Linked DNA regions of Caenorhabditis elegans. The protein of the gene in region 3 purifies or fractionates together with the protein of the main gene of each other region. This does not show direct contact. Each region holds a gene or a part of one and is shown on either strand. Other genes may lie near its edges. The genes, in order: tmed-10, nduf-9, cope-1 and mrpl-49.

Region 1 (8,091 bases), on a different chromosome or scaffold from region 3:
TGATTAACCCATTGGAATATTGTTGTTATTTTTCCACATTTTTCAAGTTCCTGCAGAACTATTTGACTACTAAATGCACATGCCTTTGTTTGATTAACTCTTGCAACACTTTGAGATTGTGGAACTATTTTCAAATCCCCTCCAACTGAGAATTTAGTTTGAGGGCGAGTACCAGCAGGCCTGAATAAGTCGATTGGAGCGGATTTGATATATTTAGGGACATATGGTGACGGAGTCGTAACATCATCTTCTACTTCTGTTTCAATTAGACTGTAATGCATTAATGGTTGGCTTATATAGAATTTAGCTGAAAACTCACGAGTAGATAGGTAAATTTGTAGGGATTGATATAGGCTCAAATGCGTAACCAAGAGTTCTTACAAATTTGTAGTGGATGCTCATATGATCTCGATACTGACAGCCGTAATATTGAGCTGGGAAATAGTTATTGGTGTAAGCAAATACTGAAAAAAAAAGTTATTTAACTCAAAATTAAGTTTTCAGGTTAGTATAACAAATCATTGCTTTATGAGAATGAGTTCTTACAATTGTCTTCTTCGGAAAAATATTCATTGTATTTATGCAATCCCACCATCCACTCTGTTGATAAGTAACCCGATTTCGCCACAAGTTTATCAGTTGAAGCTGGAGAGATCTCGAACTTAGATCTCCCTTCCCGATCTATTACGTGATACACAGCTCTGACCTTTTGGGGAAAGTTTTGGCACGAGTCAACACTACAGTTAAGATCTTTTAGAAACATTTCCATTGTGAATCCACGAACTGCGTTGAAAGATTGAGAGTTGAAGTCTTAATTATTTTTAGATATAAATATGAAGGGATATTACAAAATACCAATATTATTTAGAACATCCGATTGGGAAAGTTTGATGAAAAATACTGACTTCATGGGTGACGCATTTGTATCAGCGAATCGAAAGATCGGTTCAAGGACAATTTGTTGAATGACTCTCTTTGATTCAACATTGAAAAGAGCATAATTAAAAATTAGAAAAATGAGAAGCCTCATAATTTGTATTATAGGATCCGGTAAACTACCAAATCACAGAACAAAACACCTACAGTAAACTCGTGGCATTGTTATCATGTTAATGAACTGTTAATGCATATTCATCACATCTCATTTACAAAAGAAAGATAACAGGAAGTTAGAAAATTACATGGAATAAAAATATGAACACTTTGTTGAATGAGGGGTTGAAGAGGACGCTTTCAGCAATTTATGCACCGCAAATTTTTCGTATTCTTATCAACTTCGCAATTAATTTTCCATGTTGTGTGTTTTATTTTAGTTGTTTTAATCAATCAATATATTTTTTTCGAAAAACTATGGAAGATCTAATAATATTCCAGCACTATGAAAGTTTGAAACTACAGTATTCTTTAAAGGCGCACATCTTCCCGTATTGAATAAATAATTTTTGTTGAGACCGGTACCGTATTTTTGGCTTAAAAATAGCACAATTTTGCATGTGAGATATTAAGATACGTGCAAAGTTCATTTGCATTCATAAGAAATAGGTTTTGTCTTTTCTTGAAAGCAAACATGTCTTTAAATATTATTTTCCACAGCGCCTCAGATCGGGAGAGAAGAGCTAAAGAAGTGGTTTTGGCGCGGGAGCGCGTTTGCTGCAGACGTCGCACGAATTGGAATTAATGTGTAACAAAACAGTAAAATATCGCGTTTTTGCTGGATTTTAGGGATTTTAAAGCAATTTTCAACATGCGGGACCGCCCAGAGACTGTTCGCGATGCGATTTACTTCATTTTAATATAAATTTTCCCCCAAATAAGCTCGAAATGAGCTCTGAATTTCGGCGGATCTGAAAATTTTTTTTGACCAAAAACAGAATTTTGCAAATAAAAATTGATTTTAGAGCAATTTATTGCATAAATATTCAATTTTAGAATTTTTACTAATAGTTTGAATCTTTTTAAAGTGTTTTAGTCATTAATTTGACTGATAACACAGAAAATGATTTTTCTTTACAACGAAATCGATAAAAAAGTAAAGCAACATTTATCAAGGGAAATCTTGCAAAATTGGTTAAAAAACTTGTATGAAATCAAAGATTTCACTAGAATAAAGCTACAAATCAATCAAAATCACTAAAAGTACAAATAGTTCTGATCAAATTTCAATGTTCCAATCTACCAATGGATCTATGCCACGCCAAATTTCTTATGCAAGTGTTGCTCTCCAATTTTCCTTAAAAAATGGATCAAATACTCACATAAATGATCAAATTAACATTTTTTACAAGTTTCGTGTTATATTTTCTTTTTCTTAATAAGGAACCATCAGGTTCTTCCTGCCCTCTACGGCTCTAGATACCTCAACTTCGACAACTCCTATCTACTCGGAGAGGTGAGAGAACTTGTAGAGCACATCAAAAACTATGATATTCAATTTAACCTGCGTTTTTATCTTTCAAGATGGGGGAGTTAGACGTACATTTGTATTGCATGCTTTTTGTTATTCTACTGGCTGCTCTAACTCCCTCATCTTAAGAGATAAACACATGATTTTAACTAATTAGTATAGTTTCTACAATTTCCTAGTTAATCACTTTTTGATATCTTGCATCTCTGAGGAGATAGGAGTTGTCGAAGATACAGTATCTATAGCTATGCGCATATGAAGAATCTAATGGATTCTCATCATGCTATACTACTTATCATCTGCTTTTTGTGGGAAACAATGATTCAAAAATGTTTTTTCAAATGATCAAACAAGTTGTGATTTGATCTGAACATTTAGTGTTGGTTTAGTGAAGATCAGCTGCCAACTAAACAGTTTCCGTTGATGTGGGCATTTTTGAACAATTTCAAGACGTGAAACCGTGTTATCTCTATCAAGCTGACGTTTAAAAATTGGAATCAAACATATTAATGCTTGAAAAAATTTGTTTCGCGTAGAAATTTTGTCATAAAGTTAACTTGTTCTAGTCGGTTCGAAAATCAATGAAAAAGCAGCCAAATCGTGAATTTGTTGAATAAAATGTTTTTTAAAACTTTTTTAAAGCAATAATAATCCCAATATTTAATTATTTTTTCCAAATTTCATCTTGAAAACTCGAATAATCGCGAAATTTCGTCTGAAACTCATTTAATACCGTAAAAGTGTGCAAACGCGCTCCGTTGGACTTTCCTATTCTCGATTTTCTTAACTCTCCCGATTTGAGGCGCTGTGTTTTCCTGTTAAAATGCGTTTGTCAACGTTGACAACTCAACTACGGTTGCCAATGCGTGTTTGCGTACACACTCGATCCCACGCGCAACTGCATACGCCGCGTTGGTTTTAATTCCATCTTTTTTAAATTTATTTTCGGCGTTTGTATTGATTTTTGCTGTGTATTCCTTTAACATGAACTGATTTTTGTCCATGATAACTTTTGAACAACTTAATATTCATTATCGCATTTTTCTTACATTTATTTCCAGGTAATCATCCGAACAATTATGAAATCTCTAGTTATCTTTCTGTCAGCTATCGTTCTTGCCCATTCTCTGAGGTTCTACGTGCCACCAAAAGAGAAAAAGTGTCTGAAAGAGGAAATTCACAAGGTAAATACTTTTACAACTCCTTGTTACCATAGCAGTAAAGATGTCAAACATACTTTTTTTCGTTAAAAATTGATATATTTAATAAACATCAGAATTTATGTCTAATAAAACCTCTTGCAGAATGTGGTCGTAACAGGAGAATATGAGTTCAGTCAAGGAATTCAATACACTGGAAGTATTCACGTGAGTAAAAATAGTTTCAAAATTACTTCAAATTTTTAATTTATTTTCAGGTCACCGACACCAGAGGCCACACTCTCTACAAACGTGAAAACTTTGCTGATCTAAAAGGAAAATTCGCGTTCACTGCTGACGAATACGACATCTTTGAGATTTGCATTGAGAATCATCCACCAGCTGGGCATCCTGGAGAGAAGCGCGAGGTTTCTCTTATTTTGAAGCACGGAGTCGAAGCCAAGAATTATGATGATATTGCCAAAGCCGAGAAGCTGAAGCCACTCGAGGTTGAACTTAGAAGATTGGAGGATATGGCTGATTCAATCACCAAAGATTTCGCATTCATGCGCCAAAGAGAGGAAGAAATGAGAAATACGAACGGTAAGTGTTTAAAAAATCATTTGAATCATATAAAAGGTTCGTAATTATTTTAATTTAAAAATAATGCATTGCCGATTATCCAAGTACAGTGCTCCACATAATGATACGGCCACCCCCAAATTTTGGTATAACTCAAAACTGGGTTGAGATAGCAAAACATAATTTCTTGTGAAAATGTCCGCTGTACTGGCTAACTTTCAGATAAGTATTGGAAATATACATGAACCGTTCGTAAAAAAAGATAAACCATTTTTTCATGAAAATCCATATAAAAAAATCCACAAAATGATACGGCCACCCTTGGTTATTGTTTTCTTTTTTCGTTTTCTTTGCAATTTTTTTTGCTAAACGTTAGGTTTCATGTTCGTTTGTGTTTTTACAGCTATGTGTCGTGGAATAACTTTAACTGACTACGGAAAAAGACAAATTGTGCAAAATTATCTCAAGGCTTTTCGGATCGTCAGATTTCTCGTGATTTGAAACGTTCGAGAGATATGATCATTCGATATGCTTCAAATCCTGCCGCTCATTGCACCAAACAGTCTTCTGGTCGCCCACCACTTCTTTCTGGTAGAGACAAGCGAAAAATCGTTCGTCGAGCATCAAATTGAACAGTGACTTTCTCAAAAATTAGGCGCGAGATGAACCTGCCAGTGTCTGTTGAGACTGCACGACGTGTTCTTTCGAATTCCCAGTTTATCAAAAGACGAAAATTGAGAAAGGCTCCTTTCATTACCGAAAAAACCGCTAAAATCGTATTCAGTTAGCTAAAATCAGCCAGAGAACTAACTGGAGACAAGTGAAGATTACCGTATGATCATTCAAGCCCAATTTTGGTTTTAGTTCATCTTTTCTTCTCTCAAATCGTACCAGTAATCACGGTAGCCTTCTGGTTCATCACAGTTAAACTTTTCCTCGTCACTGAAGATGATCTGAGACCAATACATGAGCTTGAATGATCATACCGTAATCCTCACTTGTCTCCAGTTAGTTCTCTGGCTGATTTTAGCAAACTGAATACGACTTTGGCAGTGTTTTTCGGTAATGAAAGGAGCCTTTCCTAATTTTCGTCTTTTGATAAACTGAGACTTCGAAATAACACGTCGTGCAGTCTCAACAGACACTGGCAGGTTCATCTCGCGCCTAATTTTTGAGCAAGTCACTGTTCAATTGGATGCTAGACGAACGATTTTTCGCTTGTCTCTACCAGAAAGAAGTGGTGGGCGACCAGAAGACTTTTTGGTGCAATAAGTGGCAGGATTTGAAGCAAATCGAGTGATCATATCTCTTGAACGTTTCAAATCACGAAAAATCTGACGATCCGAAAAGCCTTGAGATAATTTTGCACAATTCGTCTTTTTCCGTAGTCAGTTAAAGTTATTCCACGACACATAGCTGTAAAAACACAAACGAACATAAAACCTAACGTTTAGCAAAAAAAAATTGCAAAGAAAACGAAAAAAGAAAACAAAAACCAAGGGTGGCCGTATCATTTTGTGGATTTTTTTATATGGATTTTCATGAAAAAATGGTTTATCTTTTTTTACGAACGGTTCATGTATATTTCCAATACTTATCTGAAAGTTAGCCAGTACAGCGGACATTTTCACAAGAAATTATGTTTTGCTATCTCAACCCAGTTTTGAGTTATACCAAAATTTGGGGGTGGCCGTATCATTATGTGGAGCACTGTATTAAGCTTTTATTATCATTGTTAATTAAATAGATTTGTAAGGCTACAACATATCGTTTCGAGACGCAATTCATTCTCTTCACGGAGCAGGATATTGTGATCCCTGGAAATTGTTTACCACTTTACTTGAGCAAACTCTAATTATTCGATTCATCGACAACCATCTATTTTTTACTTTTTTTTACAGAATCGACAAACAGCCGAGTTCTTTACCTGTCCATCTTTTCAATGCTGTGCCTTCTTGGTCTTGCCATTTGGCAAGTTCTTTTCCTCCGTAATTACTTCAAGTCGAAAAAGCTTATCGACTAGATTTCCCCAACCCTTAATTTATGATTAATTTATCAATTTTTTTTTCGGTTCTCCTCAACTTCTTGCTTTTCCCCCAACATCTCTTTTGTCCACACACCCAAACGTTTCATGTGATTTCTAATTGGTTCCCACATCTTTTTTACTAGATAATGATGATAATGAGTATTTTATTTTGTTGGATTTTAGTTGTTTCCTCCCCCGTTAATCTGCACAAGTATCAACAAAGGGTAAAATGTATAGTGTGTAATGTTTCCGTCTTATTTTTCTGTTTTCATCATTGCCGTTTTTTAAAATCATTATTATGAACTTTTAAATTGAAACATTGAAACATCAATTGGTAATTTACTCACCATATGGTGATTTAGTAAAGTACATAAGATCACTTTTCAAGAAGTCTTTTTCAGACGTCATCCTTTCAGAAATAACTTCAGACTTCATTCTCCACCAGTTCACTTACAACAATGATCGGTCTACATATTTTCCACTACGCCGGCTTTTTCGGAGCACAAATCTTCAATACTGTTCTGGCAATATTAATTGTGAAAAGAGCTGGAAAACTGTTTGGTAGTTACCGTCATGTTATGTTTGTATTCACATTTTGTTCGATGTTGTACTCTGCAGTAGAGATAATTGCACAGCCGGTACGATACAATAGAAAATTGGAACTTGAAATTGAAATTTTGAGAATGTTACTTCAAATAATCGTCTTTCAGGTACTATACATGAAAGGTCCAATGTTTGTCGTGTTTCTTGATAATAACGTTTTTTCTCAAGGCATTGGAAATGTAGTTGCTTGTTAGTTTTAAACATTTTACTTTTCATAGAACTCTTAAACAAAAAATGAATTTCCCTCTTTTTTTGGTTATTGAAGTGAAAACAACAATTTACAGGTCTTCATTGTGGTACCTTTGGATTTTTGATTTCTGTATTTGCGGCACAGTTTTTCTACAGATACATTGCATTGTGCAGGTTTTCTTGAATAGATTCAACAAATTTCTGATTGAAACTCTTTTCAGACAAAGTCTGTTATCTTATTTCGATGGATATAAAATATTTTTGATCTTCATTCCATGCGTAATTACATACATTCTCTGGTTTGAACTTGTCGTTTGGGGAATGTCTGCGACTATGGAAAAACGAATCTATTTGAAGTTAGTGATAATTTCAGCGTCCATGAGTAGTTCAGTAGCTTTTTGAAAACGTGGCCTCTAGACGTGATGAATCAGTTCTGACACCTAATTTCAGAGATGATTTTAAAAATATGTATGAATCAGATTCAATGATGATATCTTTTATTGCTCCGTTGTACTGGAACAATGGACCAAATAGAGAGAAAGTTTGGAGATTTAAAGATGCAGCCTCTGCACTAGTCTGTACTGGAATTATTGTAAGTTGCCATACCAGTTTTGCCAGAACACAACTCATACATCTGCTCTGTGCCTTTGTATAAATAGAAATATCAAGTAACAAACATTTAGGGATCATTAACAACTTTAATTTGCTTCTTCGCGTTACGAATTTATCTAAAAATGCAAAAAGAAAAAGGTCATATGAGTAAAAGAACTCTGGAATTGAACAGGCAGCTTTATATAATGTTATCAATCCAGGTATGTTTTCTAGATGATAACATATATTTTAAATATTGAAATGTTAAGACTATTGTCCCATTTATAACAATGTACATCCCAGTGGGTCTTTTCATTGTTCTCCCATTTTTTGATATGGGATTAGGTGCGTATGTGAATTATCCCAGTGCCAGTATGTCTTTGTATCCTGCAATTGAACCATTAATTGCAATTTATTGTATAAAAGACTTCAGAAAGACTATAGCTAGTAAGTTTAATAAGTATTCTTATCGTGAGAATTATCACAAATTTCAGATTTCTTCCGGAGAGTTCGTGTTGGTCCAAATGGCATAAGTGTGTACAGTACTAGTGGAACAC
Region 2 (10,570 bases), about 10 Mb from region 3:
TTTTCATTGAAATTCAAAAAAATCGATTTTTCTCCAGAAAATCGATAATTATCGATTTTTCGCCATTTTTACGACTTTTATCGATTTTTTCTCATTTCAAATGACTATTTTTCAGTATCCAATCCGCCGTTACTTCTCACCACCAATGAAACGCCGCTCGAAAAGTGAAGATCAAAAAATTCGGGAGACTCTGCGAAATCGGCCGCCTTTTATACTTTATTGATTGATTTTTTATAGGTTATTTTATCGATTTTTCTGTGTTTTTTAATTTCTTTCATGTCGGATATATACAAAAATAAAGCAATAATTGAATTAATTAAATTATTTTTTGTAGAGTTCCTGTGTGAAAATTTATTTAAAAATCGATAATTTTCGAAAAGAAATCCATTTTTTGTCGGAAAAAAAAGGAATTATTGATTTGTTTTGCTAATTTTCGGAACAGCCCAAATTAAAATCTGATTTAGTTTATTTTTCCGAAAAAAGTCAATAATTACCAAAAATTATCGATTTTTCGTTCATTTTCGGACAAAAATCGATAATTTTTGAAAATTATCGATTTTTTAAAGGAAATTTGATTTTACTGATTTTTTGTGCTCTTTTTTCTTATTTTTCATAATTTCTCAGGATTCTTATAATTTTTTTTCAGAATTTTTGCAAATCTACCAATTTTTCCCATCAAAATTCTCGATTCATTTACGCGTATAAATACAAAATTCAGTTTTTTCTAGAAAAAAAATTTAGAACCAAAAAAAAATTAAAATCGCTCTATTTAAACTACCAAAGACAACACAGAAATCGAAAAAACAATCGATTAAAAAAAATCTTAATTAAAAGCGACATTTTTGCTCGTTTCCGACTTGATTCCAGTTGCTCCTCGGCCAGTGTTCTTTTTGGTAAGTGGTGGTGAACGAAGTGGAAGTGATGGAGCCGGAAGTTCTCCATATTGTTCTTCGAAATATCGATTAAATGATCGATAAAATGCTTGTTGTCCACCAGCCAATTCGAATTCAGTCAATCGGCGGACTCCGAGGTCGGCGAGAGTTCTTTCGCCCGTCAAAATGTCCGATTGTACTTCCTGAAAATGCAAAATTAGAAAAAATCAATAATTTCCGTAAATTATCGATTTTTTCGCGAATTTTTTAATCAAAAATCGATAATTTTCAAAAATTATCGGTGGAAATTTTTCTATGCGATTTTTTTTCAACAATTCCGATTTTCAATTGAAAAATGCGAAAAATAGAAAAAAAAATCAATAATTTTCAGAAATCTTTGTTTCAAAAAAAATTCCGCGGAAATTTTTCAACAAAAAATCGATAAAATCACTTTTCCGACAAAAAATCGGTAATTTTTAAAAATATTAAATTTTTTTTATTTTTTTAAGATTTTATATTCGATTTTTCTTTTAAAAAAATTCCGATTTTTATCTGAAAATTACAAAAATAGCAAAAAAAATCGATAATTTTCAGAAAATTTTGAATTTTTGTCGGAAAATCGGAATTTATCGATTTTTTGAAAATCAACAAAAAATCGATAATTTCCGTAAATTATCGATTTTATTCGCTAAATTTTTTTTTCAAAAAAAAAAATCAATAAAATCCATTTTTCGACTAAAAATCGATAATTTTGAAAAAATTTTCGATTTTTTTCGAATTTTTTTGATGAAAATCGGGTTGTTTCCGCCACTTCTACAAAAAAAATTCCTCAAAATTGTGCCTACGCCTACCTGATTTAACAATTCAACGGTAGGCACAAGGCAGGCGTAGGTAGGCTTTCCGAAATTTCCAATTTTTTGACTCAAAAATCAGTTTTTTTTAAGTGTTTTTCACTTAAAAAATGGATTTTTCCGTAAAAATTGCCCGATTTTTGGCGGAAAACCGATTTTTAATTAAAAAAATCTAAAATTTGAGGCGTTTTTGCTCATTTTAAGCCCTAAAACCTACCACAAACTCCATCCATTCTCTGTTGAGTGGAACTTTACACTTGAACACTTTACCATAGAGTTCGGTGGCCATTGTGAGAGCCATGAAATATGGATCCGGCATTCCGTGACGCTTGTATCTGCAAAAATTTGAGCTTTTTCTCGGGTCCCGCCACGAAAATAATTGAAAAATTCGCGATTTTTCTCGAAATTTCACGCCTGGGTCCCGCCGCCACGAAACAATACCTCGCGGGTTACTGTACTCAAGAAATTTTTTTTTTTCAACTTTTTCGTGGCGAGACCCAAAAAAAAATGTAGTTTTCACGATTTTTACGTCTAAATTTATATTTTTTAGCCAATTTTCATAAAGTTCACGTTAAAAATCATCAATTTTCAGTGAAAATATTGATTTTTTTGATTTTTTAAGGTCTCGCCACGGAATAATATCTCGCGGGTTACTGTACTCGTGAAATTTTCGTTGCGAGACCCGATTAAAGCTACAAGCCTAGAATTTTGAGGAGAATTCGAATTTTCAAAATTTCCTGATTGATGCACAACCCATGTGCCTTTAAATTTGAAAAAAATAAAGTTTTCGTGGCGAGACCCAGTTTTCACGATTTTTAAGTCCAATTTTCATGAATTTCTCGTTAAAAATTATCAATTTTCATGATTTTTTTGCCCAAAAATTAGCAATTTTCCTTCATTTTAGGCCAATTTTCGGCGGGAAAATCGAAAAACCGGGTACCTGAATCCAAAATCAGACAAACAATGCGCTTTTTTGTACATGAAATCAATCAATTCAGACAATTGATAGCAGTGTGGTCCAACAAATTCATAAGTATGTCCTTTTGCTGTTGGATCATTTACAGCACTTTGAATTCCGGCGGCAACGTCTCCAACCTGCAAGAAAATCGGAATTTTTCGCCAATTTTCTCGAAATTTTGATCAATTTCGTTGAAAACTCGGCAAAAAATGGTAAATTTTGAGCCAAAATTTGCAAATTTCTGTGAATTTTTTTTGAAATTTTACGGATTTTCACTCCTTTTAATGAAATTTCGCGCGAAAATACCGTTTTTTAATGGAATTTAACCAAAAAATTCAATATATATACTTGCCATTTTTAGCAATGTTTCAACAATTTTTTTCAAGTGAATATGGGAAATTACCGAAAATTGGAATTGATAACATTTTTAAACGATTTTTTGTATGTTTTTCGTCAAAAATCGTCAATTTTCTTCAAAATTTTCAATTTTGGACCAAATTTCAGCCATTTTTTGTCATTTTTGGCCAATTTAAACGTTTTTAAAGCTTTTTTTTTTATTTCGCTTATTTTCGCAAATTCCACCGTTTATAGGCAGTTTTAGGCCGAATTGTATGTATTTCGAGTAATTTTTTGAATTTTCAAACAAATTGGGCCTATTTTGAACAATTTTCACTCATTTTTGGCCGATTTTTCTTTTTTAAACTAAAACTAAAAACTAAAAAAGCAACCTGCAAGAAAATCGAGATTTTTTTAGTGATTTTTCGCCGATTTTCTCGAAATTTTGATCAATTTCGTTGAAAATTCGGCAAAAAATGGTAAATTTTGAGTTATTTTTACTGAAATTGTGCGAAAAATGAATTGAATTTTGGCAAAAATTCAAGGTTTTGAGTCAAAATATCCAAAATTTGGTCATTTTTCGCAATAAAATGGTGCCTACTTATGCCTACCATCAATTTTTTTTCGGCAGAAATGGACAATTTTAAGCCAAAATTTGCAAATTTCGGTGAATTTTTCTGAAAAAATCATCATTTTTGATGGAATTTAAGCAAAAATTCGAGATTTTCAGTCAAAATTTGTCATTTTTAGCAATTTTTTGACAATTTTCTGTGTGAAAATCGAAAATTTTGTTACATTTTTGAGGAGAAAACGATTTTTGCCAAAATTCTACCAATTTTCGACTAGTTTTATCAAATTTTGGGTGAAATTCCGAAAATTTTCAGTTTTGTGCCAAATTTCAGCCATTTTCAGTCATTTTTGGACAATTTAAATGGTTTTAAAGCTTTTTTTCATAAAATTTCGCAAATTCCAGCGTTTATAGGTAACTTTAAGCCTCATTTCCTTGAATTTTGAAATTTTTTTTCTCTAATTTTTAAGCAAATTAAATAAATTCCATCAATTTTTAGCGAATTTCACATATTTTGAGCAACTTTATATGAAATTTCGAGACTTTTCATAAATATTTGGACTCATTTTAATTGTATTAAAAGCCAATTTTTATGAATTTTGACATTTTTCAGTTCATTTGGATTTATTGTAATGAATTTTGAGTCATTTTTTTCAATTTCAAGCGAATTTTCATGAAATTTCGTAGATTTAGACCGATTTTCACGGATTTTCGACTTTTTATTTTTAAAATTCAGTTATTAGGTCAAATTACACCATTTTTGGCCGAGGTTTTGAGTCAAAATATGCGAAATTTGGACATTTTTTGCATTTTTTCGCAAAAAAAAAATTGTGCCTACTTTATGCCTACCGCCGCCTACCATCAATTTTTTTTCGGCAAAAATGGACAATTTTAAGCCAAAATTTGCAAATTTCGGTGAATTTTTCTGGAATTTTACCGATTTTTACATTTTGATGAAATTTAAGCAAAAATTCAAGTTTTTCAGTCAAAATTTGTCATTTTTAGCAATTTTTTGACAATTTTCTGTGTGAAAATACGATTTTTGCCGAAATTCTACCAATTTTCGACTAGTTTTATCAAATTTTATGAAATTTTGGGTGAAATTCCGAAAATTTTCAATTTTGTGCCAAATTTCAGCCATTTTCAGTCATTTTTGGCCAATTTAAATGGTTTTAAGGCTTTTTTTTCATAAAATTTCGCAAATTACAGCGTTTCTCGAATTTTGAGTAATTTTTCCGATTTTCAAACAAAAATTGGTCATATTTTGAACAATTTTCAGTAATTTTTGGCCGATTTGTTGGAATTTTTGACTTTTTAAATTTAAAATTCAATTTTTAGACGGACTTATGCCAATTTCCTTGAATTTTGAAATTTTTTTCTAATTTTTAAGCAAATTAAATAAATTCCAGCAATTTTTAGCGAATTTCACGTATTTTGAGCAACTTTATATGAAATTTCGAGACTTTTCATAAATATTTGGACTCATTTTATTTGTATTAGGCCAATTTTTATGAATTTTGACATTTTTCAGTTCATTTGGATTTATTGTAATGAATTTTGAGTCATTTTTCTCAATTTCAAGCGAATTTTCATGAAATTTCGTAGATTTAGACCGATTTTCACGGATTTTCGACTTTTTATTTTTAAAATTCAGTTATTAGGTCAAATTACACCATTTTTCTCGATTTTCATGAAATTTTCTACTTTAAAAAAAAATTTTTTTTCGTCATTTTTGGCCGATTTTCACGTATTTTAGGTCATTTTTCATGAATTTTCGCCCAATTTTCAATATTCAAACAATTTTCAGCCATTTTTGAATTTTTATTGACTAAAATTCAGTTTTTTGGTCAAATTACTTCAATTTTTTTGAATTTTAAGTAATTGTTCAGCATTTTTGGCGAATTTCACGTATTTTGAGCTTTTTTTAAAATGTATTTTATGAAATTTTGATTAATTTCGTTCAAAATTCGGTTGAAAATGGATTTTTCTATAATTTTAATCAATATTAACGGAAAATAAAATTTTTTTGACAATTTTTAATGTGAAAATCGTAAATTTTCAAAAAATCTCGGTTTTTGTGAGTTTTTCGTTAAAATATTTAATTTTGTGCCAAATTTCAGCCATTTTCAGTCATTTTCGGCCAATTTTCACGTATTTTAGGTCATTTTTCATGAATTATCGGCCAATTCCGTACCCAAATCGGCATTTTATACGTTTCTTCTCCCTTCTTGTACAAATACACATAATCCAATGGAGTTTTTCGCCATCTTGACACATAATATTGAATAAATCCATCCAATTCACCGTAGATCACAGATGGGCGAATAATTGTTGCTTCTGGGAATTCTTCACGTACAGCAACTTCTCCGAGTCCTTTTGAATGAAGAAATTGCGATTTTGCGACAAAATGTCCCTTTTGTGGTTGTGTAGTTGCTCCGAGAGCCGACAAATGCACAAATTTCTCCACACCCATTTCTTTGCAAATTCGAGCCAAACGGCGGGCTCCCGTGTCGTTGACGTCATAGTAATTGTACTTTCTGCAAGGAAAAATGGCTTAAAATTGGGATTTTTAGAAGGAAAAAGTGGGGAAATTTGAATTTTTCAATAGAAAATGGCAGTTTTCTCGAAAATTTTGGAGAAAAATTGAGCAATTTAGTTTTTTTTGAATTTTTTAAAAATATTTTTTGAATTTTCAGTGAAAAAAACGGCGCGAAACTCAAAATTTTGAAGATTTTTCGGACATTTTTCAAATTTTTAGCCAAAAAGTGGAGCCAAATTCAAAATTTAAGGGGATTTTTCAATTTTTAATTGATTTTCAGTTGGAAAAAGTGAGGAATTTTGAGTTTTTCAATGAAAAAACTGGAAAAAAAGAGCTTTTTTTTTGAATTTTGAATGATAATTTGGTGTAAAAAAATTTATTTTTTGAATTTTCAGTAGGAAAAAAGGGTTAAATTCCACATTTTGAAGGTTTTTCAGGCATTTTTTCGAATTTTCAGCGAAAAAGAGTGATTTATTTGGTCAAAAACGGCGCGAAATTTGAATTTTTTGAATTTCCGGCATATTTTGTGAATTTTTCCGCTCAAAAATCTGCAATTTCCTCACCCAGTCGGCACACGAGTTCCGATCAAGTTGATGACGACGTTCGAGTACTTTACAGCCTGAAAAATTGATTTTTTCTGGATTTTCTAGAGAAAAATCCAATTTTTCTCGATTTTCACCTAGAAAACTCTTTTTTTTTCGGAATTTTCTAGAGAAAAAACCTAATTTTTCTCGATTTTCACTGAGAAAACTCTATTTTTTCTGAATTTTCTAAAGAAAAACCCATTTTTTCTCGATTTTCACTGAGAAAACTCTATTTTTTCTGGATTTTCTAGAGAAAAATCCAATTTTTCTCGATTTTCACCTAGAAAACTCGATTTTTCTCTCAATTTCCACGAATTTTAATACCTTTCGAATGCTCTCCTCATCCATCAGCTCAAATGGAAAATAGAGGACTTGTCCGAGCTCGCCGAGCACTTTGTGCTCTCTCATGTAATACGGATCCTGGCGATACGGAATAATGATTTGTGAGCCATTTTTCGCGAATTTATTGACAACTGGAAGTCCCAAGAAGCCTGACGCACCGAATACGGTCACCACATTGCCGGAGAAGGAGGCTCTGCAAAAATTTGGAATTTTTAACGATTTTTTTTGGGAAAAAATTGATTTTTTTTCAATGTTTTTTCAATTTTTCCTAGATTTTTTCCACATTTTCCAGTTTCAAATCATTCTTAGGCTTTTCCTGTACCTTCCACCGGCTCCCTTTCTGAATTGAGCACTCTGAGAGCTGACACGTGGCTCCGGATGAGCATTTTCGGCGGAGGTGACCGCGCTGCTGAAATTCTGACTTCCAACGACCGAAACCGCCTGCCGGGCGCCCAAGCCGGATCTACCCAACACTGATAGCATGGCTGAAATTAGGAAAATCGAGATTTGCAATTGTTTAAAGATTTTTAAAGATTTTTAAAGACTTTTTAAGAATTAAATGGGTTTTCTGCGTTTTTTCGGGATTTTTTCCAGCTAAAAATAGCTTTTCCGGTCGAAAAAATCGATTTTTTATCAAAAAAGCACCGAAAATAGCGAAAAAATCTGGAAAAACCGCTAAAAATGGCTGAAAATGAAGTACGCGGTGCCGAAATAAATAATTTGGCCTGTACGCAATATGGCGTCGGGTTTGACGTTTGCGGACTCGAATGCGCACTTGGAAGGGCGGGGATTGATGACCGTACTCCAAGGAGGAATGAGAAGCTTTGAAATTAGCAAAAATTGGTGAGAAAGGCGGTTTTAAAGAGAGTTTTCAATCTAAATTGTTGAAAAATTAATGAAATATTACTTTTCTTGTTTTACATTCAAGAAAAATTATTAAAATCTTTGAATTAAATAGAAATGCGAAGTTTTCAAGGGATTTCTTCAAAATGTGCGAAATTACAGAAGAATACTGGTAGATTAAACTGAAAATGACATCAAAATTCTCAATTATTAATATTATACGCTATCGAGATAATAAGCATTTATGGCTACAATGTATACGCCTCTCAAAATTACGTTCACATTGCTTTGTGGCTTTGCTGGTAACTCTTTTGCCTTTCACGCAACACACCGGGGTTCGACTCCGCACTGTGGTTCTTTTCTTTTTTTTTCTCGATTTAACCAATTTTAGTCAATTAAAATTCAAATTTAACGATTAAAACCAATTTATTTATCACGTGGAACCCAGAAAAGGAGAAAATTTCGGCCTAAAAAAGTTGAGACACTTGTTAAACGCCGGATTCCTGAAGCAATTCGAGCTGCACTCGGCGGCTAGATTCGGCTGGTCGACTGAAAACATTTCATGGCAAAGTAGGCATATTCTCGTGAGCACTTCGTTTAGAGCCGGTCGTCGGTAAGCCTGGAAATCAAAAAATATTCCGAATTCTTGAAAAAATGCGGAAAAAATCGGCGAAAAACTAGGGTTTTGAATGATTTTTCTCAAATTTTTCAATTTTTTTCAGCGAAATATCGAATAAAAATCGATATATCTCCAGAAACCCCCGAGATTTCCACCATTTAAGCAAAATTCTCAATGGAGCGCGTTTGCAGCTTCGTTGTTCGCTAGAGCGCACTTACTTTGCAGTTCCTCGAATGGTGGTCGGGGCGGGAAAATGAAAATCCGGCAAACGTGACGATAAGTAAGAAGAATACTGGAAAAATCAATGGAATTGTTTAGGCCACAGTGGTTTTTTGGCAGATATTTAGAGTTTTAAAAAATAATTTTCACAGAAACGTTGGCCGAAAGTTAATTTCCAGCGGCGAAATCGCGGAAAAATGGAGCTTTTCGAAGAAAAATTTCGTGGCCTATTTTTTCAGCTGGTTTTTCTTGGCCACGTCTTAAAATTTGAAAAAATTTGATTAAAAAGCAAATTAAGCACGTTTTTCAAAATTAAAAGTGAAGACATAACGCGTTTCTCGAAAAATTTGCAATTTTCTAGAAAAATGCTGCGTGGCCTAACTTTTCCGGTTATTTTTCTAGGCCACGTCTGAAAATTAGTTTTTTATTGAAAAGCAACGAAATTTTTCAAATTTTTCATACTAAAACTGAAAAAAATAGATTCTTCACGGAAAAATTTCACTTTTTGTGAAAAATTTCCCATGGCCTAACTTTTCCGGTTTTTTTTCTCAGCCATGTCTGAAAAATTAAGAAAAATTTGGGGAATCCATGAAATTATGCATGTTTTCTACGAAACATAATTGAAAAAAAAAACGGTTTTCTGCTAAAAACCATGCGTGGCCTAACTTTTCTGGATTTTCTAGGCCACTGAGCCCGAATATGGGGTTTCTAGGCCACGTGGGTCCTGAATCCAACAATAACTTACATAAGTGGTTTAATCCGTTCATTTTAGATGAAAAATAGTAGAAAATTTCGGAAAAATCTTTTGGAAAAAAAATTTCCGAAACAAAAATTTTTTTGTTTAGAAAATTTTTTTTTCCAACAAATTTCCAAATTTAGCAAATAGGTCTTATTCCATTTAAAGGTCCCCTATATATATCGTGTTGCGCGGGAGAGGTGTCATTCGATACAATACGACGTAATTTCCTCTTCCAAAGAGGCGAATTTGTGTCCTCTTCCGCCCAGTTTTCTGAGATTTTGCACGATTTTGGGCGGTTTTTTTTGGGATTTTTGCATTTTTCAGCCGGAAGCTTGCGCTAGACGCGATTTTTGATTACTCACGGGATGGTTTTAGGGGTATATTGTAGTTTTTAGCAGGGGTAGGCATGGGCCCCTTTCACTGGGGATTGGTGACGTCATAGGGGCTTGAAGGCGTGAAGGAGCGAAAAAATTGATTAAGAGGGTATTTTTGAAAAGAGTAATTGGAAATAGTGGAAATTTGAAAAAATTTCACGGTATAAGTTATCTAAAAAAAATTTTTTTGGACATTTTTAAAAATTTTTTCCAAACTTTTTTATACTTTTTTCTCACAGAAAAATCAGTTAATACATCCTTTCCTGTTACAATAAAATTCTAATTTCCTAAAACAAAACTCAAAAATCTCAAAATTCAGACTTCGAACCTAGTTATCTCCCGATACATGCGTTTTAAGTTAGCGGTGACGAGAGAGTGTGGGGAGGGGAGACGCAGGCGGCGCGCGCGCTCTCGTCGTCTGCGTCTCTCCCCCTTCTCTTTCTCTCTCTCTTCGCCAAGTTCAAACGCCCGTATCTCATTAACGGTTGGAGATATCAAAAAACTTTAAATTGTAAAAAAGTTGAGCATGGAATTTTACATTTGATAATTAACACAATTATGGATTTTTGCGATTTTTTACAATAATATTTGATCGAACAAAGTTTCAATATAAAGCCCATTCGAATAGTTTTTGGAATCCCAGCAAATAGTGAAGAAAATTGAGTTCACATCTTCATACTTGAAATCCAGGCAGTCAGATGTGTCGGTGGAGCACGAGTTTTGTAG
Region 3 (5,536 bases):
TACACCAGGTAGAGCATTTTTTGGAACATAATTGAATAATACATCAATCGTTTCAAGGTAGACTCATAAATTTTTATTAGATCAGATGGAAATTTCAGAGTCCAAAACTCCCGGGATAAAAGATTTTCTTGATCCTTTTAAGCTTATTATGTATGTACTTAAAACGTGTCAGTTTCAAACCAATAAATTTCCGTTCTGCTACCAGCTTTTCCTTTGCCTCCATTCACTTCCTTATCCAGTTTGTTACACTTTCTATTCATATCACTTTTCTCTTTTTCTTTTCACATAAAGTCTCACTTCATCTTTTTAATAACACCTTTGCAGTATCATTTATCGATCATTTGGTTTTAAAAGGCGTTTAGTTTCAGAACCATGGTATCTATCCATAATTCATTCATCTTATTGATGTTAATGATATCAATTTGTTTTTGTGAGGTATGTTTGAAACGGCACGTTTTACGTCTGGGCAGGACGAACATCCTCATGTTTGAAAATATTTTTTTGGATTTTTAATTTCGGATTTTTTGTGGCTGCACTCTTGGTTATAATTATCGTAGAATGCGTTTTTATTCTCTAATGTGGGAGTATCTTCAGTGAATAATTTTTCTAATTATTTATAATCCACCATGTTAAGTTAGTGTATTTTTTTTTAATTTTCAAAAACATTTTTAAAAATTAGGCGTTTTGATAAATTTCGAGCATCGCTTTACATCGTTAGGTAATCAAACATAATTATAAAAAGCGACTTCCAAAGTTATTACAGGTGACAAGTTGTAAAATTTCTGCACTTTTTGAATGCATACAAAAATGCTTAAAAATTATTTGGACAGTTTAGCCCACCTTTAAACTTTAAATAAGTTTTCTGTTTAATATTATTAATTCCACATAACTCCAGAAATGCCTGACCAATGAAGAATGCGATTTGAAATGGCCAGACGCAATATGTGTTCGTGGAAGATGCCGTTGTTCTGAGAATACAATTCGAAAGAAAAGTGCATCAAGAGAATGGGTTTGTTTGGCAACTAATGATGCAAGTGAGTTAGAAAATTATTCTTTAATTTTGAGTAGATTTTCTGATTTCCTTACTCTGGCAACTAGTTTGCGAACTAGCAGAGCAAATATTTCCGTTTATTTAGAGTTTTTAATTTTATATTCAAAATAAACTCGCAACTAGAAAAATTTTATAGCAAAATCGCTAGTCTAATGTTACCTTATCCTCACTTCTATCCATCATTTATTCTTGCCTTTTATACATCGATATTTGTGTTTTTGCTTCTTCTCCAATGTAGCCATTATTTTCTTCTCATCTCTTTTTTATTTTTGTTTCGTTTTATTTATGTAATTTATTTATGTAACCACTTGTGATGGTTTGTATCTATTAATGTGTGTTCTTTTTTTTCTCTACCTCACGATATCTTACTATCGTAATAAATTAAATTAAATTAAATTAAATTAGTAGCCAATATATACCAGTTTCATATAGTCCATCAACTATATATAATATCTTCAGCCGGCAACTCGGGTCCTCCATTGACATGTCCAACTCCGGAAGGAGCTGGATACCAAGTAATGTACCGAAAAGATGGAGAACCGGTGAAATGTTCGAGTAAAAAGAAGCCAGATACGTGTCCAGAAGGATTTGAATGTATTCAGGGATTATCAATTCTTGGAGCATTGGATGGAGTTTGTTGTCCTGATAGAGGTATATATTCCCTTTTTGATCATGGTAGGCACACTTTCTGCCTTTCACGCGGGCCTGCCTATGTTTTCACATAGTATCCCGTGGTTGGTGTGTGCACAGTATTTATTTCAATAAATTAGAGCAAGGCTCGTGTGCGTAGGCCGCCTTGTAGGCAGGAAATATTATGAAAATTTAGATGCTTTCCGTTAAAAATACGGCAGACGGTCTCGACACGACAAATTTTTATTAATTTAAATTGGGTAAGGTTTGCGCCTTCAAGGGGTACTGTAAAATTTCACAAATTTAACAAATCATCAGAAAATCGATGAAAAGTCCGCAACAGCAGAAGTTTGGAACTACAGTACTCCTTAAAGGCGCACATCTTTTCGCATTTAACAAAAGTTTGTCGTGTCGAGACCATATTTTTATCGCAAAAATCTCAGAATTTTTTAAAATCAAAATTTCAGCCAAAACATGCGTCCACCCAATATTCGATCATCCGGATGATGGATATCTGTCTAGATGGGGATTCGATGGTGAACAATGTATTGAATTCAAATGGAATCCCGAAAGGCCGTCATCGGCAAACAATTTCAAAACTCGCGCACATTGTGAGGATTACTGTATCGGTTCGATAAATGGAATTACTAATTATCATCAGTCCAACTTTCATCTTTTCTGAGGTTTTTGGTTCCACACTTTAATTTATTTTTCTCATAATTTTTACATCGATTTTTTCAACCAATAGACGTGCATAATTAGAAACCAAAGAAATCACATTGAGAGAGGGCGTATTTCAGAAAATAAATAAGAGATTATGGAAATTAGGCTCTGGAATCGCTGGCGACTCTATCGAATTCGGCTTCCTTCTCATTGAAATCGATAACCCATGGATGATTTGGATGCTCATGCTTCAGCTGAGAGATGAAACGTTCGACGACCTGAAAAATATTCAGTTTAATATTGTTAAATTTTTGGAATCATTAAAAAATAACTTTAAATTTTTGAATTTCTTAAAAAAAATTGAGTTTAAACATTTTTTAAATTGGGAAAATTACACTTTTTTCAGGTTTTAAAGTGAAGGAAACTAACATCGTCATCTTTTTCGTTGAGCTGGGCGGAAACGATTGAGTTGATGAGCACATCAGCATCTTTGTTATCTCTTTCCAGAGCACTCTGAAAATATAAAATTATTAATTAACTTAAATTTCTATTCTCTCACCTCCAAAAGCTCCTCTGCAGCAGCATAGTCTTGAGTCAAAATACTAACAACAGCTTGATGCATCTCCAAATCAGTAGTTCTTCCGTATTTATCAGACATTTCGCTGTAAATGTAAAGAGCATCTTTTACTTTTCCAGATGCACCGAACGAGGTGACGAGAGCATTTGCGAGTTGAGAAAGAGTAGCGTCCTCGTCGATTTGATTCATTTTCTTCACTTCACCAATTGCAAGCTTCCGCTTGTTCATTTTAATGAGAATAAACACCTTGGAGGCACGAGCCTCGAGACCTTCGAAACGGGAAACTGCACGGAATGCGTCTTGGGAGAGCTGAAATTCATTCTTGGTAATTTTAAAATAACATTAAATGTATAAATATCTCACATCAGCTTCATTGAGAATAGTAGCGGCAAGAACAGCTGCGATTTCTGATTTAATGTTTCTTGAGGCAACTTCTTCTTGAACTTCAGCCAGAATCTTCTTCTTGGCAGCTGGATTGTTGCGGAATTCGGCGTACCTGCGAACAGCAGCTAAATCAGCAGACTTCGTGGCGGCTGGGATCTTAAAATAAATAAAAGAGTTCAGGCTTGCTCATTAATCAATAACTACCTCTTTCAATGGAATAAAAGCTTGTCCTTGTGCAATATACGATCTGTACAAATAAACATCCTTCTCCTGCTTTTCCTCTTCGTTTTTCGATGAGAACTTCTGAAATATTAAAATAAACCAGGAAATCGAAGGAAACAAGATTTCTCACCAAAGCCTCTCCAATACAAGACTGATAACTTCCGAGAAAGAAATAATTGCGAATCGAGAACAACTTGTCAGCCATTTTTTGAAATCTCTATTGAAAAAGGGGAGATATTTAGAATCGAGAATAAAAGCTCGATTAAATCGGTGAAAAATTCACCACGTCACTTCAAAATATTTGCGGACAAAACACCATACTTCACGCGCAATGTAATATTGCGGACTTTCAATAAAAGAAGAAAATAATTTATTTTCGGAAAAAGGCACAAAACGAATATTTTACGTAACAAAAAACCGGTATAAAATGATAATAACGAAAATAAGTTTTTAAAAAATTATTGCTTCGATTTTCTACGGAGTCCTGCGGATTTAAAGCCAACAAATCGATATGTGGTATTTGAACTAGGCATCGGAACACTGTTCTCTTCCAATGCAGCGAGAATCGTAGTTTTCTCGATTTTTTCTTCAACTTTTTGCGTTGGTTTGACAAATGCAGGACATCGGAATGGATTTTTCGTTTTGGGAACTCTGAAAAAAGTATTTAGATTATATTTTTATTAATTCACAAGCGGATTGTTTTGTAACTCGCCCATTTTCTGAAGTTGGTTTAGAGAAATACTTGGAAGTTTGTGCAGGTTTTCTATCCGGCAACGACGGAGGAGCCGAATTTTGATGATTGAGAAGCGGCGATTGAAATTTGTGAGTTTTTCTTGCCGAATCAGGAGTTGAAACCGCTTTTCGAAGAATCGGAGGAGGCTTCAGCTCTTCGTTGCTATTTTCAACTTTTTCCTCGGCAACACTTTCCTTGGTATTTTCTTTCACTTTTTCTTGAAAAAATTCCGAGAAATCATCATCGATTACTTCCAGAATCTTTTGTCTCTTCTCCGGTGGTGGTTCTGCATACTTTTTGAGAAGAACATCAGCATTATAGTCCACTTGAGGCGCATTTTTCCGTTTTTTGATAGCCTTCTTTTCTTTTTCGATATCTGCCATGAATTGCTTCACAATGTCATCTTCGTCATCGTTTGGGGTAGTTTTCGAAGCAACTTTGACACGCTTCACAGACGGCGAATCGAGCTGGAAAATTTTATATCGTCCAAAATTTTGAGATTTTCATTCTTCTTACCTTGAAAGCTCCACCACATTGCGTAGCTTCTAACTCTTTCTGTTTGCTGATCTTGTCTAGTGTGCTTCCTTTGCTTTCATATCTTAATTATTTAATAGAGTATTCACTACTATTTCAAAGTTATATTTCTACCGTAATCCCCAGACACTCCATTCCGGGGTTGGCTGAACTAGAAGAAACTGATCGTCGATTGAGCTCTTGTTTTCCTGAAAAATGTTCAAGTTATGTAATAAAACTATATGCTCCTAAAGAATTGCTAACCGGATTTCCTAGCGCTAACCGAATAGCGATTCGCTGAGTAGAAGCTGTTCCTGCATACGCGAAACTTTTGGAGCTTGGAGCCGTCTTCTTTGGTGACTGAAATTCACATTTAAACGATATTAGTGACTAGATAAGCTTGATGAGCCTACATCCAAGTCTATAACCTCCTCCAGATCGTCGACTCCAGTCATCAAAACTTCTTTTGGGTACGGTGTCAACGGCTTCTGGCACCGTTCTCTAGGATCAAATACAATTTGATGTTTGAATGTATTTTCCGCCTTTTCGAAATTTCGAATGAATTCATCGTTCACGTGCTCCTTGAGCTTAGGATTTTTCAGGTATGATGGAACTTTTCGGAGCAAAGTTCTGAGATCCTTGATTGATGTCATGGAGAAAAATTTGGCAGCTGTGCTCAACCCGACGCCTGGTAGACCTGCCTGAAAAGTATTTTTTTTCGATAAACAATTTGAGCTTTTTGCTTATGTTTTTGTTCTTGAGC
Region 4 (6,061 bases), on a different chromosome or scaffold from region 3:
GGAACATTTGTCAATTGGAGTGGGTACCGATTTCCTTTAGTTAAATCTATAATTGCACTTTTCATTCCTAACAAAATTAACGAATGTTAGAGCTTTCATAGAATATAAAACGATAAATCATTTTAGAAATTTTAATTTTGTTTTGGAAGTCAATAAACGGATGTCTTAGAAACGAATTCTAGAAATGAAGAATATTTTTATTTATTTTCAGATAATTCGAATTTCCAATTTCAGAAAACTTGCTCAAAGATCTTTAATTTGATTTTTCAGTTGCAAAACTTACCAAATTGAAGAACTGCATATTGAGAATAATATTGATAGGCTGATCGCACAACACACAGAATTCTTATTGAGAACCAAAAGAGTAGAAATGAACGAGCACACACAAAAAGTCTTCATGTGCTCACGCCCCTCCCACCTTTTGCTCGAGCTCCGCCCTTCTTAGACTTTCATCATTTTCTGGAGGTTTTCGAGTTGAGAAAAAATTATCTGAAACCAAGGCAACGGGTTCATGGATATCGTATTATCTCTATTAATACTGCATTATGTTTTAATCTTATGCGCATGGGTCTCGGCACGCCGATAACGAGCTACTGTAACTCATGTCGGTTTCTTGCATAATTTTCGACTTTTCTCAATTTCAGACATATACGTAATAATAAAGCTTTTCACACAATTATGTTTGGAAGATTGTGTACTTTGTATTTTTTTTCCACTTCTACGATTTTAAAGGAGCGCATTTATGCGGAATGGTCTCGCCACGCGCTGCGAACGAATTCAAAAATTTGATGTGTGCACCTTTAAGGTTACTGTAGATTTTGCTCAAAAATCTCCATCGTTTTTTGTCGTTTTCTTCCTTCACTAATAAAGAAAGAATACATTTATTTCGTTTTTGAAACTATTATTATGAGTAATTTGAATACAAATAATACAGAAAATTGAGAAAGGAACTTGTAAAAACAAAGTATTGTATTGTATTGTATTGTATTTATTACGATTCAAATCGTGATCAAAAATAAATAAAAATAAATAGTGAATAGACATGAATAAGTTAAGGCCGAAACATCATAGAGAGATTGATAATAATCACAAAAATTGATAATAAACATACAGTATTGGAAGAAAACAAGAAAAATCGATGGATTTCAGTGCAAATTAATACAGTAATCTTAAAGGCAGATATTCAAAGCTTTTTAAATCAGTTCACCGCTCGTGTCGAGACCATTACTCTTTAAACTCTTCAAAATCGTAGAAGAGGAAAATAATGGAAAATAACTTCGTTCTTCCAAAAGCAAGTGAATGTGCTTTTCAAAATCTGAACATTTCTAAATACAAAGTTTTGGAAGTGTACTTTTTTACAACCATAATTATATTATAACAAACAGTAATTTTCAGTCAGACACCATTTTCATATTTCTCGATGCTGAAAAATTTGCAACAACTTAGGATAATCCCAAAGAACCGATCCAAATGAGAAAAAATACCATGCCCTATAACCGGTTTCAACTGAACCTAAAATGTCGTGATCGACCTTTCGTCGAATGCATGCCCATTCAACGTTGAGCCGATTTGAGTGCTATTTCAACATGAAATTTTTGATTCTGTCCTTTCTTCTCGTATCAATTTGCTCTGGAGGTGGTGGATTCCCGATTCAAATGTTGACAAAATGTGGAATTTCAAAAGAAACCATTGATGGCGTTCAAAGTGTAATCGACGAACATTCGGTATTTTTAAAACGACTTCTTAGATATTGAAAAATTTTTCAGGCAATGATTAAAATTGCTAACTCGAACAAGCGTGCCAAAAAAACCGAAATCGATTCTTTGAAGGCAGATATTGATTTATATTTAGATGAACATGCATCTGACGACGACAAGGTAGGATTTCTAATCTAAATTTTACATATTTATTTTTTCCAGAAAAGATGGATTGAGTGCTTCACAAAGAACAACTCCTAATTGTCTTGATTTTTCACTTTTTTTTTGAATAAAAAATTTTAACGTGTTGATAAGCTGTAACACTTTATATTCATAACAACAACGTAACAAACGTCATTTATGCGTCAGTCTTTTGGACCTTAGCCTTCTTCACTTGGGAGCGGACGATGGCGGCGGCACGACGTTGAGCGAGCTTGTTGAACTTGTTGAATCCGGCGTTCTTGGCCAAGCGACGGACTGAAGCAACTGGGGTCTTGCTCAAGGTGGAGGTGGTGACGGCCTTGGCTGGTCTTCCCTCTGAGAAAAAACAGTGTAAAAAATAAATTTTTAAAAAATCTCTTACTCTCGTTCTTGGTAGATACAACGACTCCCTTGGCGGCGGCGCTGACGTCGATGGCGTGCTTGTTAGCGAGTCCACTGTATTTTGGGCTGTTCACCTTCTTGAGGTTGAACTTCTCAGTGGAGAATCGCTTTCCGATTCCGCGCTGGGTTCTGAGGAAAGCGCTGTTGTTGCGGATGACTTGCCACACGAGAGCGTCGGACATTTTACCTGGAAATAAATTATTTTATGATGAAAGTTAAATACAATAAGATACAACGGGAAACGTAAGAAAAATTCAATAAAATCAATTGTACACGTAGGTTTTCAAGCAAATTTAAGAATACAATTTTACAAAGTCCTAAATGTCATTTTTCCTGCTCAAACTTTTGACTGAAATGCATAAAAATTCGCTGATAAAAACAAGCAGAATACGCCAAAATAGTTGCAAATTATAAAATTTACAGAATTAATACAAAAAATTCGATATTTTACTCAAAAAAATGGAAAAAAAGAAGAAAAATAAATTAAACTTTCGTTGAGCTGGCCTAAAATCTAATAGCAAGCGCGCTCCATTGCCAAACGGTGTAAACGCGGAGCCTCGTTTGCGTGTAGTTTTTATCGTAAATCGACACAACTTCTTTCAAAATAAATTATTTCTTATGAGTAATTTTCTGCATTCTATTGTTGTGTTTCAATTAATCTTATTTTTAATTTGATTTTATTCAAAATTATATAATTTTATTAAGATGCTGGGTTCTTCTCTCCGCATTTTCTCCCCTCGAGCAGTTTCCAGGTTGTCTTTTTCAACAACTTCAGTCGAAAAAGCTGAGAAACTTTGGGAAAATCCATGGAAACATGCTCTCCCTGAAAAGTGTAAGTTATTTATTATCATATAATTTTTCTACTAGCAATTACAGCCAGAAGTCTTGCAACGGTCGAAGAAGCTCCTATCGATTGGTCGTATGTGGAAAGATTGATGCCAATAGAAGTGGTGCCGAATGTTCCTGAGCACGAAAAGTATCCTACACCAAGCGGATGGACACCACCGACAGGTATATACAGATTAAATTCATACCGCATCGAAATATTTCAGAAGCAGCCAAGACACATCAATACTACATTCGACGTCGTCATGACCATCTTCTTCCTCTTTATTTGGAACGAAAAAGGGATTTACTGAATGAGAAAACGTTGGATTTTGATTATGTCGAGCTAGTAACTATCAGAAACGTCGACGGAGACATTTTTGTAAGTTGGGAACATTATTAAATCCTGAATCAACATAAATATCTTTCAGGCTTGCGAAAATGATCTCCGCTCCTATCTTGAAGAACATCTTGGACATTCGATCGCCAGTCACGTCGATGAGTTGAAAGGTCGTATCAAAATTAAAGGAGCTCCACGTGTTCTTATTGAGCAATTCTTCTACAGCAAAGGATTCTAGATGTATTCTTGATATATCTTTTAGTTTTTTATCTAGGCAGATTTGTTTTGTTGTGAATTTATTGTTGGAGAATGAACTAGAAAAATTCAATTGTCTACTTTATCATTTTTACCTTCAAACCGGTTATTTCACCGTCATTTCCTTATTCTCTTCATTTTGTATCATTGCGAAATGCCGAAATTCTTCTCTAGAATGCCTTCCTCAATTTGTTGCACAAACTGCAGAACTAAATATTCATTATTAAACAGAGAAGTTATTTTCTGGCATCAAAAACTAATTAATTTCTATTTTTTCAGGCCGGCTGCTCGAATTGTGCTCTCTCCTTCTGTAAGAAATGTCTGCCTCATCGTGCAATTATTCCCACACTTTCGGATTTACCAATGATTGTCTGTAACAATTGCTATCAAAAATTGGAATCTGCCAAAATGAAGCCCAGCGCGACTGTAAGAAAAAGAACAAAGTAAAAACTAAATAGATATTAATCCCACGATTTTTTTCAGATAACATCAACGCCTCTACCAGATAATTCGAATAAATCGAATAAAAATTGGTGGGGTGATGGACTTCCACCGCCATCATTCAGGAATTCGCACACAAATCAAAATCAGATTAAAAATAGTGAAGTCAAAGCAACTAAATTCAGGAATTCGCCAGAAATTCCATCGCAGCAGACCAAGGTAATTAGCGTCACGGAATTTTCTTAATTTATTTTTCAGTTTTCAGCCAAATTATCCGACCAATGACCTGGAACAGCGAAGACTTAAACTGCGAGAAGATATTTCACCACAAATTGAACCACTCAGTATATCAGAAATTGAAGAACGATTAGCAAAACTTCGAGAATGTGATGTAGAAGTGATACGTAATCCTCAAAGTGTAAGTTGGACAAGGATGTTTTTAATTAAAAATGTGTCTTAAATATAGAAAATTACTTGATTCATCTGAAAATATAATTTTTTCAGTTGAAAATTTAAAAAAAAGTGTTTAAAATGACCTTAAAGTTACAAATTGCAGATAATCAAATTAAAGAGCTCTGTTTTCGGCAATTAACAACTTTCAGACCGTTTTCGTGAATTTTCTCAAGCGTTTCAACTGAAATACATGTTATTTTCTTTCAAACAAAATAGTTTTCTATATTTTGACACTAATTTTTATTGTAAGATTTTAGAAAAACATTGGCCAGTAGGTCGTTTTGTAGAGTTTCCGAAAATAATTGCCGTCCACCTCAGAAGTTGATTTTTTACGCCTAAATACCATTTTTAACATTTCAGTGGCTAAAGTCTTCTTCCAAGGAACCTGCGATGAACGCCAATAATCCATCTGAATTAATGCGAGTAGCTGAAGATCGTGCAAGAATTGAAAAAAAAGAAGAGGAAATGGAACATAAAGACTGGGATGAGCTTGAAGCAAGACGTAGGAAAATATTTGAAGATGAAAAAGAAAAAAATAGAGAAGATGATGCTTCAATACGAGAATCAATGGTTTCTGCAAACACAGAGTTTAGTGAAGCAACGAAAGAAGAAATGAATGAGATTAATAAGTGAGTTGGTGAATTTTTTATTTGAAATTAAACTGAAATACAGTTTTTTTTGAGAATTACAATACTTTTCAATAAAATTCAGTCAGCAAGCTGTAGAACTGGGACCGAAAAATTCGAACCAAAAAAAATCAAACAAAATTTTTTTTGGATTCGAAAATTGGAACTTTTTACAAAAACTGAAAACCACAGTTTGCTAAAGAACATTTGTAAAATATGAAAAGTGTTTAAAATATAGAAAATTAGTTTTTTGGTGTTTTGTCACAAAAACCAAAAAAAAAAACAAATTTTCGTCGAAATATTACAAAAATAAACAAACCCCAAAAAAGTACTAACCCTGCTGTAGACTTTTAAAGTTTTACGCATATTCAATAGTATTCCAGTATTCTTCAAGACGCAGAACAACGTGTAGCTGAAACCAAGAAGCAAGAAGAACATGATGCCGCTGAACTCAGAACTCTCATGAAATCTAGTAAGTTTAAAACGAAAATTTGAATATTTCTTCAACACAGTCTTTTACAAACCTTTTTACTGCCAGCTTAATTTCTTAATTTTGCTACAATTTCAGCTCGTCAGAAGTCTCTTGACGCTATTCAATGGAATGATAAGATCACGAAAGAAATTGGTGGATTTTGGGATCGAAGAAACGAAAAATTATCTGTAGATGAAGATGAAGATGAAGACGAGAAGTCCTTAGACGAAGAGACTTTCAAAAAGATTCTTCACGAAGCCGAAAATTCAGAAGATCTGCCTCCTCAAACTTCGGAATCAAACAAGGCGTCAACACCGAGCAACTCGAGCTCACCGAAGAAAAAGGGATT

Evidence for each region.
Region 1: the proteins of cope-1 (region 3) and tmed-10 fractionate together in Caenorhabditis elegans (co-fractionation; one large-scale study listed by BioGRID). This does not show direct contact.
Region 2: the proteins of cope-1 (region 3) and nduf-9 fractionate together in Caenorhabditis elegans (co-fractionation; one large-scale study listed by BioGRID). This does not show direct contact.
Region 4: the proteins of cope-1 (region 3) and mrpl-49 fractionate together in Caenorhabditis elegans (co-fractionation; one large-scale study listed by BioGRID). This does not show direct contact.

Annotation. Positions count from the first base shown.
Region 1 is NC_003283.11:11,322,339-11,330,429, reverse strand, and holds tmed-10 (GOLD domain-containing protein), read left to right. Parts: upstream 1-3,465; 5' UTR 3,466-3,483; coding exon 3,484-3,588; intron 3,589-3,708; coding exon 3,709-3,771; intron 3,772-3,821; coding exon 3,822-4,146; intron 4,147-6,026; coding exon 6,027-6,148; 3' UTR 6,149-6,465; downstream 6,466-8,091. Other genes in the region: F47G9.6 (DUF1968 domain-containing protein), read right to left, coding at 1-270, 320-464, 547-810, 856-1,030; str-141 (Serpentine receptor class r-10), read left to right, coding at 6,610-6,789, 6,862-6,943, 7,039-7,117, 7,165-7,299, 7,394-7,535, 7,627-7,755, 7,804-7,981, 8,029-8,091.
Region 2 is NC_003281.10:3,241,041-3,251,610, forward strand, and holds nduf-9 (NADH dehydrogenase [ubiquinone] 1 alpha subcomplex subunit 9, mitochondrial), read right to left. Parts: upstream 7,536-10,570; 5' UTR 7,534-7,535; coding exon 7,373-7,533; intron 7,244-7,372; coding exon 7,033-7,243; intron 6,744-7,032; coding exon 6,688-6,743; intron 6,123-6,687; coding exon 5,780-6,122; intron 2,819-5,779; coding exon 2,664-2,818; intron 2,059-2,663; coding exon 1,941-2,058; intron 1,076-1,940; coding exon 824-1,075; 3' UTR 677-823; downstream 1-676. Other genes in the region: Y53G8AL.1 (FHA domain-containing protein), read left to right, coding at 116-223; Y53G8AL.4 (Apple domain-containing protein), read right to left, coding at 8,327-8,512, 8,731-8,804, 9,477-9,498; Y53G8AL.3 (CUB domain-containing protein), read right to left, coding at 10,421-10,570.
Region 3 is NC_003281.10:13,424,550-13,430,085, reverse strand, and holds cope-1 (Coatomer subunit epsilon), read right to left. Parts: upstream 3,823-5,536; 5' UTR 3,733-3,822; coding exon 3,658-3,732; intron 3,609-3,657; coding exon 3,510-3,608; intron 3,462-3,509; coding exon 3,285-3,461; intron 3,231-3,284; coding exon 2,904-3,230; intron 2,858-2,903; coding exon 2,774-2,857; intron 2,623-2,773; coding exon 2,506-2,622; 3' UTR 2,365-2,505; downstream 1-2,364. Other genes in the region: Kunitz-type protein bli-5, read left to right, coding at 373-435, 896-1,034, 1,511-1,702, 2,149-2,363; exo-1 (Exonuclease 1), read right to left, coding at 3,986-4,178, 4,240-4,727, 4,777-4,858, 4,909-4,982, 5,038-5,133, 5,187-5,474. UniProt on the Caenorhabditis elegans protein: The coatomer is a cytosolic protein complex that binds to dilysine motifs and reversibly associates with Golgi non-clathrin-coated vesicles, which further mediate biosynthetic protein transport from the ER, via the Golgi up to the trans Golgi network.
Region 4 is NC_003283.11:12,725,626-12,731,686, forward strand, and holds mrpl-49 (Large ribosomal subunit protein mL49), read left to right. Parts: upstream 1-3,005; coding exon 3,006-3,132; intron 3,133-3,176; coding exon 3,177-3,311; intron 3,312-3,352; coding exon 3,353-3,507; intron 3,508-3,556; coding exon 3,557-3,703; 3' UTR 3,704-3,792; downstream 3,793-6,061. Other genes in the region: nssp-67 (Neuropeptide-Like Protein), read right to left, coding at 284-301; R11D1.13 (DUF148 domain-containing protein), read left to right, coding at 1,587-1,724, 1,767-1,877, 1,920-1,958; rpl-28 (Large ribosomal subunit protein eL28), read right to left, coding at 2,056-2,234, 2,281-2,482; zfyv-19 (FYVE-type domain-containing protein), read left to right, coding at 3,896-3,955, 4,000-4,146, 4,204-4,380, 4,427-4,579, 4,975-5,243, 5,624-5,712, 5,809-6,061.